Elephas maximus indicus: one gene and its partner. The protein of the gene in region 2 purifies or fractionates together with the protein of the main gene of each other region. This does not show direct contact. Links are inferred from orthologs where the notes say so. Each region holds a gene or a part of one and is shown on either strand. Other genes may lie near its edges.

What was found. The genes of interacting proteins can lie anywhere in the genome.
Region 1: the proteins of SETDB1 (region 2) and SUV39H1 purify together in Homo sapiens (affinity purification with mass spectrometry; 3 studies listed by BioGRID and IntAct, counting the BioPlex papers as one, with this or other methods). This does not show direct contact. The link is inferred for Elephas maximus indicus from reciprocal best matches to the Homo sapiens genes SETDB1 and SUV39H1.

What each region holds. Positions count from the first base shown.
Region 1 is NC_064846.1:122,905,622-122,913,362, reverse strand, and holds the start of SUV39H1 (histone-lysine N-methyltransferase SUV39H1), read right to left. Parts: upstream 3,168-7,741; 5' UTR 3,110-3,167; coding exon 3,085-3,109; intron 1,170-3,084; coding exon 1,024-1,169; intron 1-1,023. UniProt on the Homo sapiens protein: Histone methyltransferase that specifically trimethylates 'Lys-9' of histone H3 using monomethylated H3 'Lys-9' as substrate. Also weakly methylates histone H1 (in vitro).
Region 2 is NC_064821.1:184,996,510-185,004,251, reverse strand, and holds the start of SETDB1 (histone-lysine N-methyltransferase SETDB1), read right to left. Parts: upstream 3,243-7,742; 5' UTR 3,156-3,242; intron 3,150-3,155; exon of another isoform or gene 3,046-3,149; intron 2,789-3,045; exon of another isoform or gene 2,690-2,788; intron 1,680-2,689; 5' UTR 1,669-1,679; coding exon 1,409-1,668; intron 514-1,408; coding exon 362-513; intron 1-361. UniProt on the Homo sapiens protein: Histone methyltransferase that specifically trimethylates 'Lys-9' of histone H3. H3 'Lys-9' trimethylation represents a specific tag for epigenetic transcriptional repression by recruiting HP1 (CBX1, CBX3 and/or CBX5) proteins to methylated histones.

The DNA of each region.
Region 1 (7,741 bases), on a different chromosome or scaffold from region 2:
CTCTCCTACTTAACTACTACCTGTCCAAATCCCATTAATCTAATCTCCTAAACCTACTCCCTCCACACCATCTTTGCCATCTCAGTAAACATCAGCTCCATGCTTCTACCTGCTGAGCTCAAATTCCTGGTCATCCTTGACTCTCTTTCTCACACTCCCCACAACCACCTGCAGCAAATCCTGCCAGCCCAACCTTCAAAATACCTCCAGAATCCAACCACTTCAAACCATCCTCACTGCCACCACCATCATTGCTTGCCTGGGCTGTGTCCCCCGGCTTCCACTCTCACCCCCTATAGCACAGATTTGAGAGTTAGATACCCTGAGTACAAATCCTAGATCTGCCATGCCCTAGCTGTGTGACCTTAGGCAAGTCATTTAACTTTGCTGGGCCACAGTTTCCTCATCTGTAAATAAGAATATAGCTAACATCTTACTAGCATTCATTAGGTAACAGGTCCCATGCGTTATTAACTAATTTATTCCTCACAACACTCTATTATCACCCCCATTTTACAGATCAGGTAAGTGAAGTACAGAGAGTTTGGGAAAGTAGCCCAAGGTTACACAGCCAGGATTGGAACCCAAGCAGGCTGGCTCTAGTCTTAACTATCCTTCACTAACCTCCTCTAGCAACAGTAACAGTTCCCACTTCACAGTTAGGGGAGTTAAATGAGTTTCTTAGGAAGTGGCTGGCACACTGAAAGTACTCAGTAACTGTTACCTATCATCATCTCCACTCCTGGGCTCAGCATCTAAGAAGTATTCTCAATCTTTGCAATTGGTTTGTCTTCCTAGGGAGGTGGGAAGAAAGACTTATTTGGGGATTCATTCTGGCTTCTGCCCCCTCAGAAAGCCACTTAGTTTCCCCACCTGTAAAATGGACATGAGACATCTTTTAGGATCGAAGGAGAAAATTCCGTTTGGAAAACAAATGCAGGCAGTGGGAGGCAGGAGGGCAAGAAGCCTACTCCCTTGAGACACTCCTCCCCGGCCCAGGATCACGGTCACCCCCAGACTCACACGAATCTTCTTGTAGTCACACAGGTACTCGACTTCAAAGTCATAAAGATTCCTCTTGGAGATACCGAGGGAAGGGCAGGAGAGCTTGGCCAGGCGGCACAGGTCCTGTAGCTGATTCCAAGAAGACTTGCAACACACGCTGCAGCCTGGAACAAGGGGGCAGGAAGAACTATTACTGGGTAGCCTGGCCAGGCACCCAAAAGGACCCCAAATCCTCCCTGGGACTTTCCAAGGACTGCCTCAGTCAGATTTAATCCACAGGCCTTTCCGAAAGCTGGGACCCTTCTATAACCAAAATGTGCCATTTCCTTGAACCCCAAGGCTCACTGCTCAAGGCTACCCCTGGAGCAGAGGTCCTCAAAGTCTGTCCTAAAGGAATCAATTCCCAGAGCTTCTAACTCCCTTACTATTTGTTAAAACTTCCAGCAAACCTGCCTAGAGTTCGGAATCTGAGCACCCTTCTCCTCACTTTACAAAAGAAAGGGAACAACCCCCCCATCTCAGTAGGATGCTCTAAGGGGAAGGTGGTGGGGGCGAGAATTAAAACCTCCAGGGCACAAAACAAAGGCAAAACTGGAAAGACTGGTCCACAATGTCTTATCTGAAAAGGCGGGGGGGGGGGGGGGGGGCAGATATGTTTAAAAAAAAATCTTTTTTTACAAATGTATTTCCATGTATCTACCATAACACCCCCAGTACTTAGGGTATCATGCCATAATCAAATGCATTAATATATCTACAGCAAAAGTAAGAATTTTCACATTAAATAGGAGAAATAAAAATGTAAAATAGTGGCACTGAATAGTTCTACCTTATAATCTAGTTTTGCCACTGAATGGTGCCCAATTTAAGAAAAAGATTTCAGTTTTCAGGATTTTTTAGATTTCAGAATTTTTAATAAATGTGGAATGGTAGATTACAGGCAACTTCCTTGAATGAGTAGTCTTGGTACCTTAAACCCCACTGCATTTTTTTCACATTGTGGTTTGACTTTCCCTGCTTCATCCACATTTCTGTGAAGGGTAAAGCTGGCCCAAATGGGTATGTTCTGAATTCAGGAATAGGCAAAGCAGTATATGTTTGTGATGATTCTTTTAAATATGCCTGGAATGTTTTCTGGGGCTACCAAAAATTTTTAGGACACACTGATTAAAAAAATAAAGATTTATATTTGATTCCACATTGTTTTAGAAGTCATTTTATCAAATCATTTCACAACACCTATTTTATAGTTTTTAAGTGTTTAACATTTTCTACCTCCCATTACAAAAATCAAGTTTATTTAAACTCACGATAAAGTATGTCAACCTAAAAATATACAAGAGCTTTTCAAAATTATTTCATGTACACTTCCCTCCTCCACTTAGGCAGGCCTAGACTCTTCAACTCTGTATCTCCCTTCCAGGCTCTGGGCCTAGGCCCAGGCTTTCCCCTCCCTGTGATGCCCTCTCCCTTCCAAACCCCTTAACTCGTATTCAAAACCCCCCATCTCAAGTGGTCCCAACTAACATCGCCAGCTGCTGGCTCCAGCATGCACTTGGCACTGACCTGGCTACACTCTCCTAGCCCTCAGAGGTCCCCCCACCCCCCACCGCCACACTTGTGGTCTCTCATCCTCCCCGCAGCTTTCCTCAGAGAGGAGCCCACTCCACCACCCTCCATACTGAGAAAATCACCCTTTCCCTGCACACTGGGGAATCCACTTCCCCCCATCCTGGGGGAGTCCACTCTACTCCAAACTCCTTCCCTGCTTACCCCTGAACAGTACCCTGTCCCCCCACTGAGTGGATCACTTAGCATCTATACCCAAGGGTCGGGCTCCCTCTCCTCCCTTTCCGGCATCTCGCGTGGGCACCAGGCGGGTAACGGTCACCGGCGGCCCATTTTCCCGCGCGCGGGTGCGGCCTCCCGGACGACCCCCTGCGCGTACGCGCGCCGGTCCAGTCGCGACCTGGAGCACGCGCTCCCACGCCCGCCCCATCCCGCGCCCGCCCTTCACCCCGCGCCGGCCACGTTCGGAGACACGCGCCCCTTCCCACAGCCCCGCCCAGCCCCGCGCACCAGGCCCGCGCTCCCCGAGCCCCATCCTTTCCACGCCAGGCTTCCAGCTGCCGGCTCCGTGGCCTCGGATGCCGGGCCCCTGAGCCCGCTGCGCCATCCCTCCAGCCCACCCCGGCCCTGCCAGCGAGCCTGCGCCGCTGCCGCCACCGCTTCACCTTTTAAATTTTCCGCCATCTTTCCCCACGGCTAACGACATTCGGGCCTACTCGGCCTCGCGAGAAGAGAGCTCGCGCGGGCGTGGCCGAGAACGCACAGCCTATTGGCCACGCCGCGCAGCGAGCGGCGCCCGCGCGGACCAACCGGCGAGCGTGACCGGACCCCTCCCCGCCACCCCACCGGTCCCGAAGGCGGGTGCTTGCCTTCGGTTTCCCAGAGTGCGCCTGGGCGGTGGCAGCGGCAGCACCGGTAGCTGGGGCTGCCGGAGGCCCTGCCTGTACGCGGGTCTGTCTGTCACGCTGTTAGCCAATCACGTTGTTAACAGTCGTAGAGGCGGATTCTCCGTCCTGTCAGACCCCCAGTTAGCACTGTCAATCAGCCAGTCGCCCAGTTCAGGTCACCACAGCTGTCTAGTCAGACACCCCACCCCCCTTACACCCTATCAGTCTGTCAGGGAGTAGCGGCATCCATTTGTGTCCTCAGGCCAGCTGCAATGCCCTCAACTCAGACTGCACTTACTACCAACTCCCCTTGTTAGCCAGCCTGACCGCTCCTTTACATTGTCAGTCAATTAGCCTGTCATACCACGTACCCTTGCCCTGGGACCTGGAGGAATCATCTCATACACCCCTCAGTAAGCCACAGCATCGGGCCATGCCCTTAGGCAGGCTGTGATTAGGTCAGGACAAGCTGTCATTTTCAGCATCTAACATAGCCCTGTCACCCTGTAATTCCCTCAGGTTGCTACTCATTCACACCATGATCAGCCAGTTAATCAGTCTTAACACCGAGCTAGGCCTTCAGAGCAAATAGTCACAGCGACTAATGGTACAATAGAGCCTCCACACTACCCGTCAATAGGTCAGCCAGTCTGTAATTTCTCAGGCTACTTATCCACACCATTGGCCGGTCAGTCAATCTCCTGTGACCCATTGGGCTCTATCAGGGAGCCTGTGATTCCATCAGGGCAAACAGTCCATAACCATGTACAGCCACCAAGTGAGGCAGTTATGCTAAGTTTTCAGATGGTCAGGCAGCCTGTGATTCCTTCAGTTGGTCCTTCATCATATTGTCAGTCAGCCGGTTCGTCATCCTCAGAATCCAACTGACCACACTGTCTGTCAGAGAGTCATTCAGTCAGAGCAACCATCCAGGCCCTCAAGCATGCTGTGGTTCACTCAAGATGAACAGTGTCTTAGTTCTCTAGTGCTGCGACAACAGAGATACCACAAGTGGATGGGTTTAACAAAGACATATTTGTTCTCTCACAGTCTAGTAGGCTAGAAGTCCAAATTCAGGATGCCAGCTCCAGGGAAAGGCTTTCTCTCTTTGTTGGCTCTGGAGGAAGGTCCTTGTCATCAATCTTTCCCTGGCCTAGGAGCTTCTCAGCACAAGAACCCTGGGTCCAAAGGACACACTATTCTCCTGGCTCTTGTTTCTTGGTGGCATGAGGTCCCCCTGTCTCTCTACTCGCTTCTGTCTTTTATATCTCAAAAGAGATTGACTCAAAAGAACCTAATCTTGTAGAATGAATCCTGCCTCATTAACATAACTGTCTCTAATCCTGCCTCATTAACATCATAGAGGTAGGATTTACAACACATAGGAAAATCACATCAGATGATGAAATGGTGGATAATTACACAGTATGTGAATCATGACCTAGCTAAATTGACATTTTGGGGGACACAATTCAATCCATAACAGTCAGTCACCATATATAGTAGCCTATCAGCCAAACCAAACCCATTGCCATCAAGTTGATTCTGACTCATAGGGAGCCAATAGGACAGAGTAGAACTGCCCCACAGGGTTTCCAAGGAACAGCTAGCTGGTGGATTCAAACTGCTGAACTTTTGGTTAGCAGCCGAGCTCTTAACCACTGCACCACCAGGGCTCCCATCAGCCAAAAGACCTCCATAAAGTTTTAAGAAGCAAAGATATCACTTTGACAACTAAGGTGTGCTTGACCCAGGCCATGGTCTTTTCAATCTCATATGCATGGAAAGGCTGGACAATTAAAAGGTAGACAGAAGAAGAATTGATGCATTCGAACTGTGATGTTGGCAAGGAATATCAAATACACTGTATACTGCCAGAAGAACAAACAAATCAGTCTTAGAAGAAATACAACCAGGATGAGACTCCGACTCACTTACTTTGGACATGTCATCCCAAAAAGCAGTCACTAGAAAAGGACATCATGGTTGAAAATAGAGGGTCAGTGAAAATGAAGGAAACCTTTAATGAAATGGACTGACACATAGCCACAACAATAGGCTCAAACACACCAATGATCATGAAGATGGCACAGGACCAGGCAATGTTTCATTCTGTTATACTTAAGGTTGTCATGACTTGGAGCCAACTCAATGGCAACTAACAATAACAACAACATCAGGCAACCACAGATTTGTTGATCAGTCAACCTGAAATTCAGCGTAGCCCTTCTTTACGCATCATCAGACTATAACATTTAGACATTCCCTCAGCCCTGTAACATCCTGCCTCCCAGTCCGGCAGCAACACCATCAGTCAGTTGGTCAGCCTGTAACTCTTTCAGGAGGCTCCTTGTCCTCCACACTGTCAGGCCACCAGCCCCAGCCAGGCCCAGGCGGGCTGTAAGTCAGTCAGATGTTCAGTACTTCACAGCATCAGGAAACCACATTGTCAGTTCCTCAAATTGCCCCTCTCCCTGTTGGTCCATGAGTTGCACAGTTAACCAAATGGTTATACAGTTAGCCAGTTATTCTGTCTTCCTGCTAGTCCAGCTGTGAGCTGATTGGAGGAATGGCTGGTCAGTCTGACGTTCTATCAGCCCCTCCTTACCATAAGTGTAACAGTCAAAAGCGTAATCCCACCAGGCATGCCCCTTCCCTCCTTTATTCTTTCTAGAACAGAGTCACATGCTGGTCCTCACGTGCCCCAGTCTCCTTGGGTGGCCTGGGCCATCCCACTTCCAGAGGCCTTGGAGACCTGCCCAACCCACAAGAGTGGTTTAAGGCATGACCTTTTTCCACCTGAATCTGGAGGGGAGCTATAGGGGTCTGCTAGTGATGAAGAGCTTCCTTTGGGCCTCTCCAAACAATATAATGTATCGGGTAAAGGCATGGATTCTGGAGCCAGACTGCCTGGGTTCAAATCCTGGCTCCACCACTTACTAAATTGTGTGACCTTATACAAGTTAACCCTATGGACTAGTTAACCCTTTGGGACTAGCACCTTTTCAGGAGACCTCAAAAGTAAGAGGTCATCCTAGTACTCCTGTGTCCTGCCTAAAGCCATTTGTCTGTTTGTTCAGCATTAATCCAGTGCCTCTTGTGTATATTGCCTCTCTTAGTGCTGAGGGCATAAGGTTTTATCCATTTTAAGCTGCACAGGTTGAACCTGTTTTTAATGTAAACCTCATGGTGAAGTGTAACACACATACAGAAGAGTACATAGACCATGGGAGAATGTCATGAAGAGTTTTTACAAGTGAATACGCATGTAGAACCAGAAGGCAGGTCAAGAAACAACATAACCAGCCAGGCCTCCAGAACTGTTTAATTTTTTAACATCTCTGAAATCAGCCTGTGTCTTACAAGCACTGTTGGGTCATAATTTAATTGGTAGGTTTTTTTTTTTTTTTTTTTTTTTTGCTTTTCTTAGTGATCCATAAAATAATGGTGTATTTTATAATTTTATAAATCAATGGTGAGTCAGAGTCAGTGAAATTCAGTAATAACAATAACAACCACAGCAACAATAGTGGCAGCTAATGTTTATAAATGCCTACAATGATCCAGACAGTTTGCAGACACCATCTACTTTAATTCTCAATACAGCCCTATGAGGTAAGCATTTTTATTTCTATTTTAAAGACTGAGGAAACTGGGGCCCAAAGAGGTCAAGTAACTCACCCACGGTCAATTCTTTCACCTCGAGTCTCTGCCTTCTCTAGCCCATGCTCAAGGGGATTCAGAGGTTGGGTGATGCCTTCCTATCCAAAGGTGGAGAAACGGCCCTAGCACCCAGCAGAAGGGAGATGTCTTGGAGCACTGGATTTCTAGGCTTTCTGCAGGGGTGGGGAGGGGGTAATTGATACCTGACAGGTCCTTTCTAGACTCAGTGCTCATGCTGGGAGCCTGGCTGGTTAGGGTGGGAGTGGAATAATGAAATATTTCAAAAATTAAAAGAAACCTGAGACACGCCCCCTCCTCCTCCTCAAGGGGAATTTCCCCTTACATGGTTCTGGGAGAATTTTTAAGGGGCAAAGCCAGCTCCCACTCCTGATATCTTATCCCCAATGCCCCCAATGTCTAGCTGGTTTCCTCCCTCTCCCTCTACCTCCACCTCAATGGTTCAGAAATTCTTCTGCTGCTCTTGGAAACCTGGATTCTCCCTCACCTTTATCTTCCTGCCCCTCTCCTCCTCCTTCTCTAAAGGTAGGATACCTGAGATGTTAAATCTACCAGATTTCAGAAATGCAAAGGGTTAAATTCTTTGATTTTAGGCTTTA
Region 2 (7,742 bases):
CTGTATAAATTTACTAAAACTCAAACCACACACTTAAAATCAGTGAATTTTATGGTACATAAATTATACTTTAATGAAAAAGTCAAAAAATTGACTAAGCCAAAGAACCTATTGTTGTGGGATACATACATAGCTGGTGATGCCACTTCTGAAGAAACGCAAGGGAATTCAGAACAGAGGTTACAAAGAATTGGGAAAGAAGGTTGATGCCAACTGAGGAGTAACAAAGAGGGGACATCTATGATACTAATAGGTCAGGCAGTTCAAAATATCAAGTTGGTGACTCTGGTTTCCCCTTTCTTATCTTCCATCTGCTCATCTTCCAGTTCGAGACTTTTCTATCCAAAGCCTTATCCCTTACCTGAATCAATACTGAGTACATCATCATCTTCATCAGGAATCTCGATTATTTCTGTAGGCCGAGAAGCTTCATCCTCAGAGCTACTTTCCCGGTATTGTAGTCCCAGCTTGGAGTAGAAGTCCTTCACCAAAGACTCACAATTAGTCACTGCCCTAATTGGAACACATGTGGAAAAGAAGGTCAAAACCAGCAGATGAAGTAGGTGTCAAAAAAAAAAAAAACCAAAACCAAACCCACTGCTGTTCAGTCGATTCCGACTCATAGCGATCCTATAGGACAGAATAGAACTACCCCATAAAGTTTCCAAAGAGCGGCTGGCAGATTCGAACTGCCGACCTTTTGGTTAGCAACCATAGCACTTAACTACTACGCCACCAGAGTTTCCGAAGTAGGTGAAGGAACCATTAAAATTTATATATAAGTGTAGACTGTCCTCAATTTAAACCATACGCTATATAATTGTAAATTCTGCTGTTTAGAATTTAACATGCTTTTCCCATAGAAAAATGTTTTAAATGGTGGTCTGGTTTCCAGACTAGTTCCTCAAATATCCAAAATAAGCCCAGAGCATAGTCCTTTCAACCGTACCTCATTAATTAGCTTATTGTTATTTGAAAATGTGTTTTAGGTAACAACTAGGGCACCATAAACAAATCTTCTGGGGGTTTAGGAGCAGATATAGGGTTTTTCAAGTTTATTAATGCTCTACAACTACATAAGACAGCAAGTAACTCTTTACGATTTTGATTCCCTAAATGATTTTATTAGGGAAACAAAGTAGGATTATGAAGTAGAATGGGGAAAGAGAAAAGGGACTCAAGACATGGACTCCCCTACTGCTGATCACATGTGAAGCTCTGATAAATGGGTAGTCTATGTATGGTGGTTGTGAAGTCTGATTCTGAACCATAAACTATGAGGAAGAATAGGGTCCTACACATTTGTACTTTATAAAGTACAAAGTGCTTTGCACGATGTCGTGACCAATTATACATTAAAAATGCCTGCAATGAAGAGATTTCCTTTTAGTTTCTGTATAGTCCTCACCTGGATGCATCATCAAAGAGCTGATCAACATGGGCCACCTCAGATTCCTTCTGTATTACCCAGGTCTCCAATTCTGCTAGCTGCTTCTTGCGCTGCTGTACGCAGTCCATCTTTTCCAGTTCTTCATCAATGAACTGCCGAAGTTCCTCCATAGAGATGCCTAGCTCCTCAACCACAGCCTGCTGCAGCTCTGCAATCTCTTCAGACTCCACTGCAGCAGTTGCTGCCTCCAAACCGACGCACTCAGGAATGGAGGACATGCTGATGTCCTCTGAATAGAACAGAATTACCCTTGGGGTCATTGTAACTACAATCAGTAGGAAATTTCACTCCCCTAATAAAACTCATTCCTACTCTGTTACCTGCTATTTAAATTTGATTCTATGTTCTCTTTCCCCATTCTCCAGAATTTGATGCTGAGATTTCGTAGAGTTCTCAGCCTATGCTATACACTAACAGGCCTGAATAAGATTTCAGATTGAAAAGCGTGGAAAACACAGTCCCATAGGCTACATAGGCATCTTACCTTACAATTCACATATGACATAATAATGCTTATTTTCTAGCGTCTGTAAAAAATTCTATTCTGTACGTGCATTTCACGTCAGTGTGTTACCAGAAGTTAGGAACTGGTTACATTTATGTTGTTCTTTTTTACAAGGCTTCTAACATAATTTTGCAAGCTGGTTGTTATAGGATACTTGAAACAGAACTTGAAAATTCAGTTGGGGGACATTCCAGGTGGGGGAAAACTATGAGAGTATTTCAAGAACTTTGGATGTTTTGGGTAAAACACAGGTAGTGGTGAGATAAACTGAAAAGCTAAATTGGAGCCAAATTAGAATGCCTTGCAAGGCTTAAGAAGTTTTACCTGATTCTTATGCAGTGGAGAACCAATGAAAATGTTTTAGCAAACTGAAGAGAATCAATCTACATAGGAAAATAATTTCTGTGAGCCAATTGGTTTCTTAATCGACTAATGAGATAGATCTATGCCTACATCTTATCCCTAATTTGAACAAATATCCCCACCTGGGGAGGGGGCTTTGCTCTGTAACGCACTTTGCGGTGTTTTCTCTTTTAACTACTTGTCTCCCTTATATTACTTCGCTTCGGTGTGAAAATTTACTTTCTAAATGTGATCGCTGTCTGTAACGCCACAAAAAAAGTCTTAAGCACACAAAAGCTTGCAGCAAAAAGAGGTACCCCTAAAGTAAAAGGAAGTAAATTAATTTGGGAATAAAATGTGGCTATCTTAAGTTCACAATCCAAAAAACTCACATTGGCGTTAAACTGTTTTTCCGATCAAACGGTAGAAACAAGACTGATGTCAGATAAGCCGTGCGACCTCAACGCCAGTTCCCAGTGCCTCCATTTTTTTACCACACCCGTCCGACCCTCCCTCCCCCAAGCTACCCAATTTAGAGGGGGCGTCCCATCCACCCATAGGCCCATCTCGACCCCGCCCCCGGTCGCCTCTCGGGGAAAACTTCCTTCCTACTTTCGCCCAACCTCCTTCTACAAACAAAACATTCCAGACAAGCCTTTGGTCCCTAGATACCTCAACTAACAGTATTCCCTACCTCCCCGCTCCCAGCTGCAAAAGCTCTTTTTCACCAACCAGACCCCAGACTCACCACTCTCAGGTCGGCCTGGACGGGAAGAGGAAAGAACGAAAACGAAGGGAATGAAGAACAGGGGAGGGGGAGGAAACGTGAGGGAGGAAAGGGGACGCCCGGAAGCAAACCTTAGGCGCCGTTCCGGTCACCGCGACGGTAGCCTAATGGGGTCAAATTCAAAGCCGCGGGGCGCCCCTAAGAGGCTGAGACTGACTTAGGCGACTACGCATGCGTCAAGGCAGAGCCTTTCGGAGCACACGTGAGAATCCGTGGCCGGATAAAGTAGGCGTGGCCAGGAGTGTATTAAAGAAGCCCCGCCTCTTCTACCACCCTTCACTCCCACCACCCTCCACTGGTGCCAGTGATTCTACGGTTATTGTGTAAAGACTCAGTAGACAAACAATCTTAGGTTTCGGTATTATTTGTTACTTTTACTTGATTTTATTACGTAAATCATACAAATCAAAGGATATCCAGATGTAATAAGAAAAACGTGATAATCATTTCCCCTCCCCTTATTTACTACCTCTGCTCCTTTGATATAAGACAACTTTTTTCTCTAGGCTTATACATGAACTTTCATGCATATGGATTTTTTGTTTTCATTTAATGTGTGGCTATTGCTTGAAGTCAATGAAAGAGATAAAACTTGTCTTTTTGACAACTGCATAATACCCATTTCCATCAAACGGACTCATAGCAACCCCATAGGGTTTCCAAGGCTGTCTACGCGGAAGCCAACTGCCACTTCTTTCTCTCACAGAACCGCTGGTGGCTTCAAACGGCGGAGCTGTCGCTTAGTCGATTGCCTTAACCTGTACGCCACCAGAGCTTCTATTTCTGTGGGATAAATTCCCCAAAACCGTTATCTCTGAGTGAAAAGATTTGCACATTTTTCATTTTAAAGGAATCTTTTGTCAAATTACTTTTCAAAAGGTTGTAACAATTTATACTTCTACTAACAAATTTTTGAAAGTACCTGTTTCCCCCCACTCTCATTAGAACTGAATGTTAACTCTCTACTTAATTTTTTTTAATTGTGCTTTACAAATCAAGTGAGTCTCTCATACAAAAACATACACACGTTGCTGTGTACTCCTAGCTGTTCTCCCGCTAATGAGACAGTGCACTCTTCCTCTCCACCCTGTATTCCCAGTGTCCATTCAACCAGCTCCTGTGCCCCTCTGCCTTCTCACCTCCCCTCCAGACAAGAGCTGCCCACTTAGCCTCATGTGTCTACTTGAGCCAAGAAGCTCACTCCTCACCAGTATCATTTTCTGGCTTACAGTCCAGTCCAATCCCAGTCTGAAGCGTTGGCTTCAGGAATGGTTCCAGTCTTGGGCTAACAAAAGGTCTGGGGACCATGGCCTCTGGGGTCCCTCTAGTCTCAGTCAGACCGTTAACTCAGGTCTTTTTATGAGAAATTGAAGTCTGTATCCCACTTTTCTTCTGCTCCAGCATGGATTCTCTGTTGTGTTCCCTGTCAGGGCAGTTATCTGTCATAGCTGGGCACCATCTAGTTCTTCTGATCTCAGGCTGATGGAGTCTCTGGTTTATGTGGCCCTTTTTATCTCTTGGGTTCTTATTTACCTTGCATCTTTGGTATTCTTTATTCTCCTTTGCTCCAGGTGGGTTGAGACCCATTGATGCATCTTACATGGCTGCTTGCCAGCATTTAAGACCCCAGACGCCACTTACCAAAGTGGGATGCAGAGTGTTTTCTTAATACATTTTGTTCTGCCACCTGACCTAGATGTCCTCTGAAACCATGGTTCCCAGATCCCTGTCCCTGCTACTCTGGCCTTTGAAGTGTTCTGTTGTATTCAGGAAACTTCTTTGCTTTCGGTTTAGTTCAGTTGTGCTGACCTCTCCTGTGTGTTGTCTTTTCCTTCACCTAAAATAGGTCTTGTCTGCTATCTAATTTGTCTACTTAATTTTTAAGAACTTGATGTGTGTAAAATAATATTTGTATCAGGATAGGCTAGGTTATATTGTGGAACTCAGCTCATGGTAGCCACTCAGGGACCCAGGCTGATGTGTAGCTAAGCCAAAGAGAGAGAGTTACCAACGGCCTCACATGGCAATTAAAGTAACTTAGATCACTTTCATTTACAACTCATTGGCTCCAACTAGTCATAAGGCCCCACCCAGTCACAAGAGACAATGAATGCAATGCCATTCCTCTTCAAGTTGCCATTCCTGGTATAGTAGATCATATGATTGTCTGATTCAAAATGGCCAATACCAGTTCATTTCAGCTCACTAATGCCTAGGATATCGATGTTTATGTGTTCCATTTCATTTTTGATGTTTTCCAGTTTTCCTAGATTCATAATTCGTACATTCCATCTTCAAATTATTAATAGATGTTTGCAGCTGTTCTTCTCATTTTGAGTCATGCCACATTAGCAAATGAAGGTCCCAAAAGCTTGACTCCATCTACATCATCAGGATCCACTCTACTTTGAGGATGCAGCTCTTCCCAAATTGTCTTTTGAGTGCTTTCCAACCTGGAGGGTTCGTCTTCCAGCACTATATCAGACAATATTCTGCTGCTATTCATGAGGTTTTCATTGGCTAATTGTTTTCAGAGGTAGACCACTGGGTCCTTTTTCCTAGTCTGTCCTAGTCTGGAAGTTCAGCTGAATCCTGTCCACCATGGGTGACCCTGCTGGTATTTGAATACTGGTGGCATAGCTTCCAGCATCACAGCAACATGCAAGCCCCCACAGGACGACAAACTGGGAATTCCAGAACACTTAGTTTTGCTTATAAGGAACCTGTGGACAGATCAAGAGGCAGTCGTTCGAACAGAACACGGTGATACTGTGTGGTTTAAAGTCAGGAAAGTTGTGCGTCAGGGTCGTATCTTTTCACCATACCTATTCAATCTGTATGCTGAGCAAATAATCTGGAGAAAGATGCATTAACAACCTGTGTTATGCAGATGACACAACCTTGCTTGCTAAAAGTGAAGAGGACTTGAAGCACTTACTGATGAAGATGGAAGACCCCAGCCTTCAGCATGGATTATGCCTCAACATTAAGAAAACAAAACCACCTACAACTTGACCAATAAGCAACATCATGATAAACAAAGAAAATGCTGAAGTTGTCAAGGACTTCATTTTACTTGGATCCACAATCAACATTCAACATTCATGGAATCACAATCAACATTCATGGAAGCAGCAGTCAAGAAATCAAAAGACGCATTATTGCACTGGAAAAATCTGCTGCAAAAGACCTCTTTAGAGTGTTGAAAAGCAAAGATGTCACACTGAAGACTAAGGTGCGCCTGAGTTAAGCCATGGTGTTTTCAATTGCCCCAAATGCATGCGAAAGCTGAACAATGAATAAGGAAGAGCAAAGAAGAACTGACGCCTTTGAATTGTGGTGTTGGTGAAGAATGCTGAATATACCATGGCCTGGGAAAAGAATGACCAAATCTATCTCGGAAGAAGTACAACCAGAATTCTCCTTAGAAGCAAGGATGGCGAGGCTACATCTCATGTACTTTGGACATGTTACCAGGAGGGATAAGTCCCTGGAGAAGGACATCATGCTTGGTAAAGTAGGGGGCCAGGGAAAAACAGAAAGACCCTCAACAAGGTGGACTGACACAGCAGCTGCAACAATGGGCTCAAGCATAACAATGATTGTGAAGATGGCGCAGGTCCAGGCAGTGTTTTGTTCTGTGGGTCGCTACAGGTCGGAAGTGACTCAACAGTACCTAAGAACAACAACAACCACAAGAGTGCCAGGAAGGGCAGGCCTACGTAATTGCTGGAATGTGAGAGGACTGGGTATAGCTGATAAAGTGTGTTACAATGTAGAACATTTTCTTTATAAATTGTTATGCCAATTGAGCTAGATGTCCCCTGAGATCATGGTCTCTAGCCCTCAGCCCAGTAATTTGCTCCCTCTGGGAGTTTGGATGTGTCTGTGAAGCTCCTATGACCTCACCTTGATCAAGTTGTGCTGACTTTCCCAGTATTGTGTACTGTCTTACTCTTCGCCAAAGTTATCACTTACCTGTTGTCTAGTTAGTGTTTTTCCCTTCCCACCCCTACCCTCCCTCGTAACCATCAAAGATTGTTTCTTTCTATGTGTAAACCTTTTCATAGATTTTTATAGTAGTGGTCTCATACAGTATTTGTCCTTTTGTGATTGACTTATTTCGCTCAGCATATGCCTTCCAGATTCCTCCGTGTTGTGAGATGTTTCAGAATCATCATTGTTCTTTATTGTTGCATAGTATTCCATTGTGTGTATGTACCATAGTTTGTTTATCCATTCATCTGTTGATGAACACTTAGGTTGTTTCCATCTTTTTGCTATTGTAAATAATGCTGCAGTGAATATGGGTGTGCACATGTCTCTTCATTTGATGGTTCTTATTTCTCTAGGGTATATTCCTAAAAGTGGGATTGCTGGATTGTATAGTATTTCTATGTCTAGTTTTTTAAGGAAGTGCAATATTATTTTCCAAAATGGTAGTACCATTTGGCATTCCCACCAGAAGTGCATAAGAGTTCCAATCTCCCCACAGCCTCTCCAACATTAGTTATTTTCTGGTTTGTGCCAGTAGTGTCCGGGTGAGATGGTATCTTGTTCTAGTTTTGATTTGCATAAGGTCTGAGAATTTATGTATCGTTTTTCCAGGTGATGCGTATGCTACTGGTCCTGGGACTAGAGTTTAAGAATCATTGTCT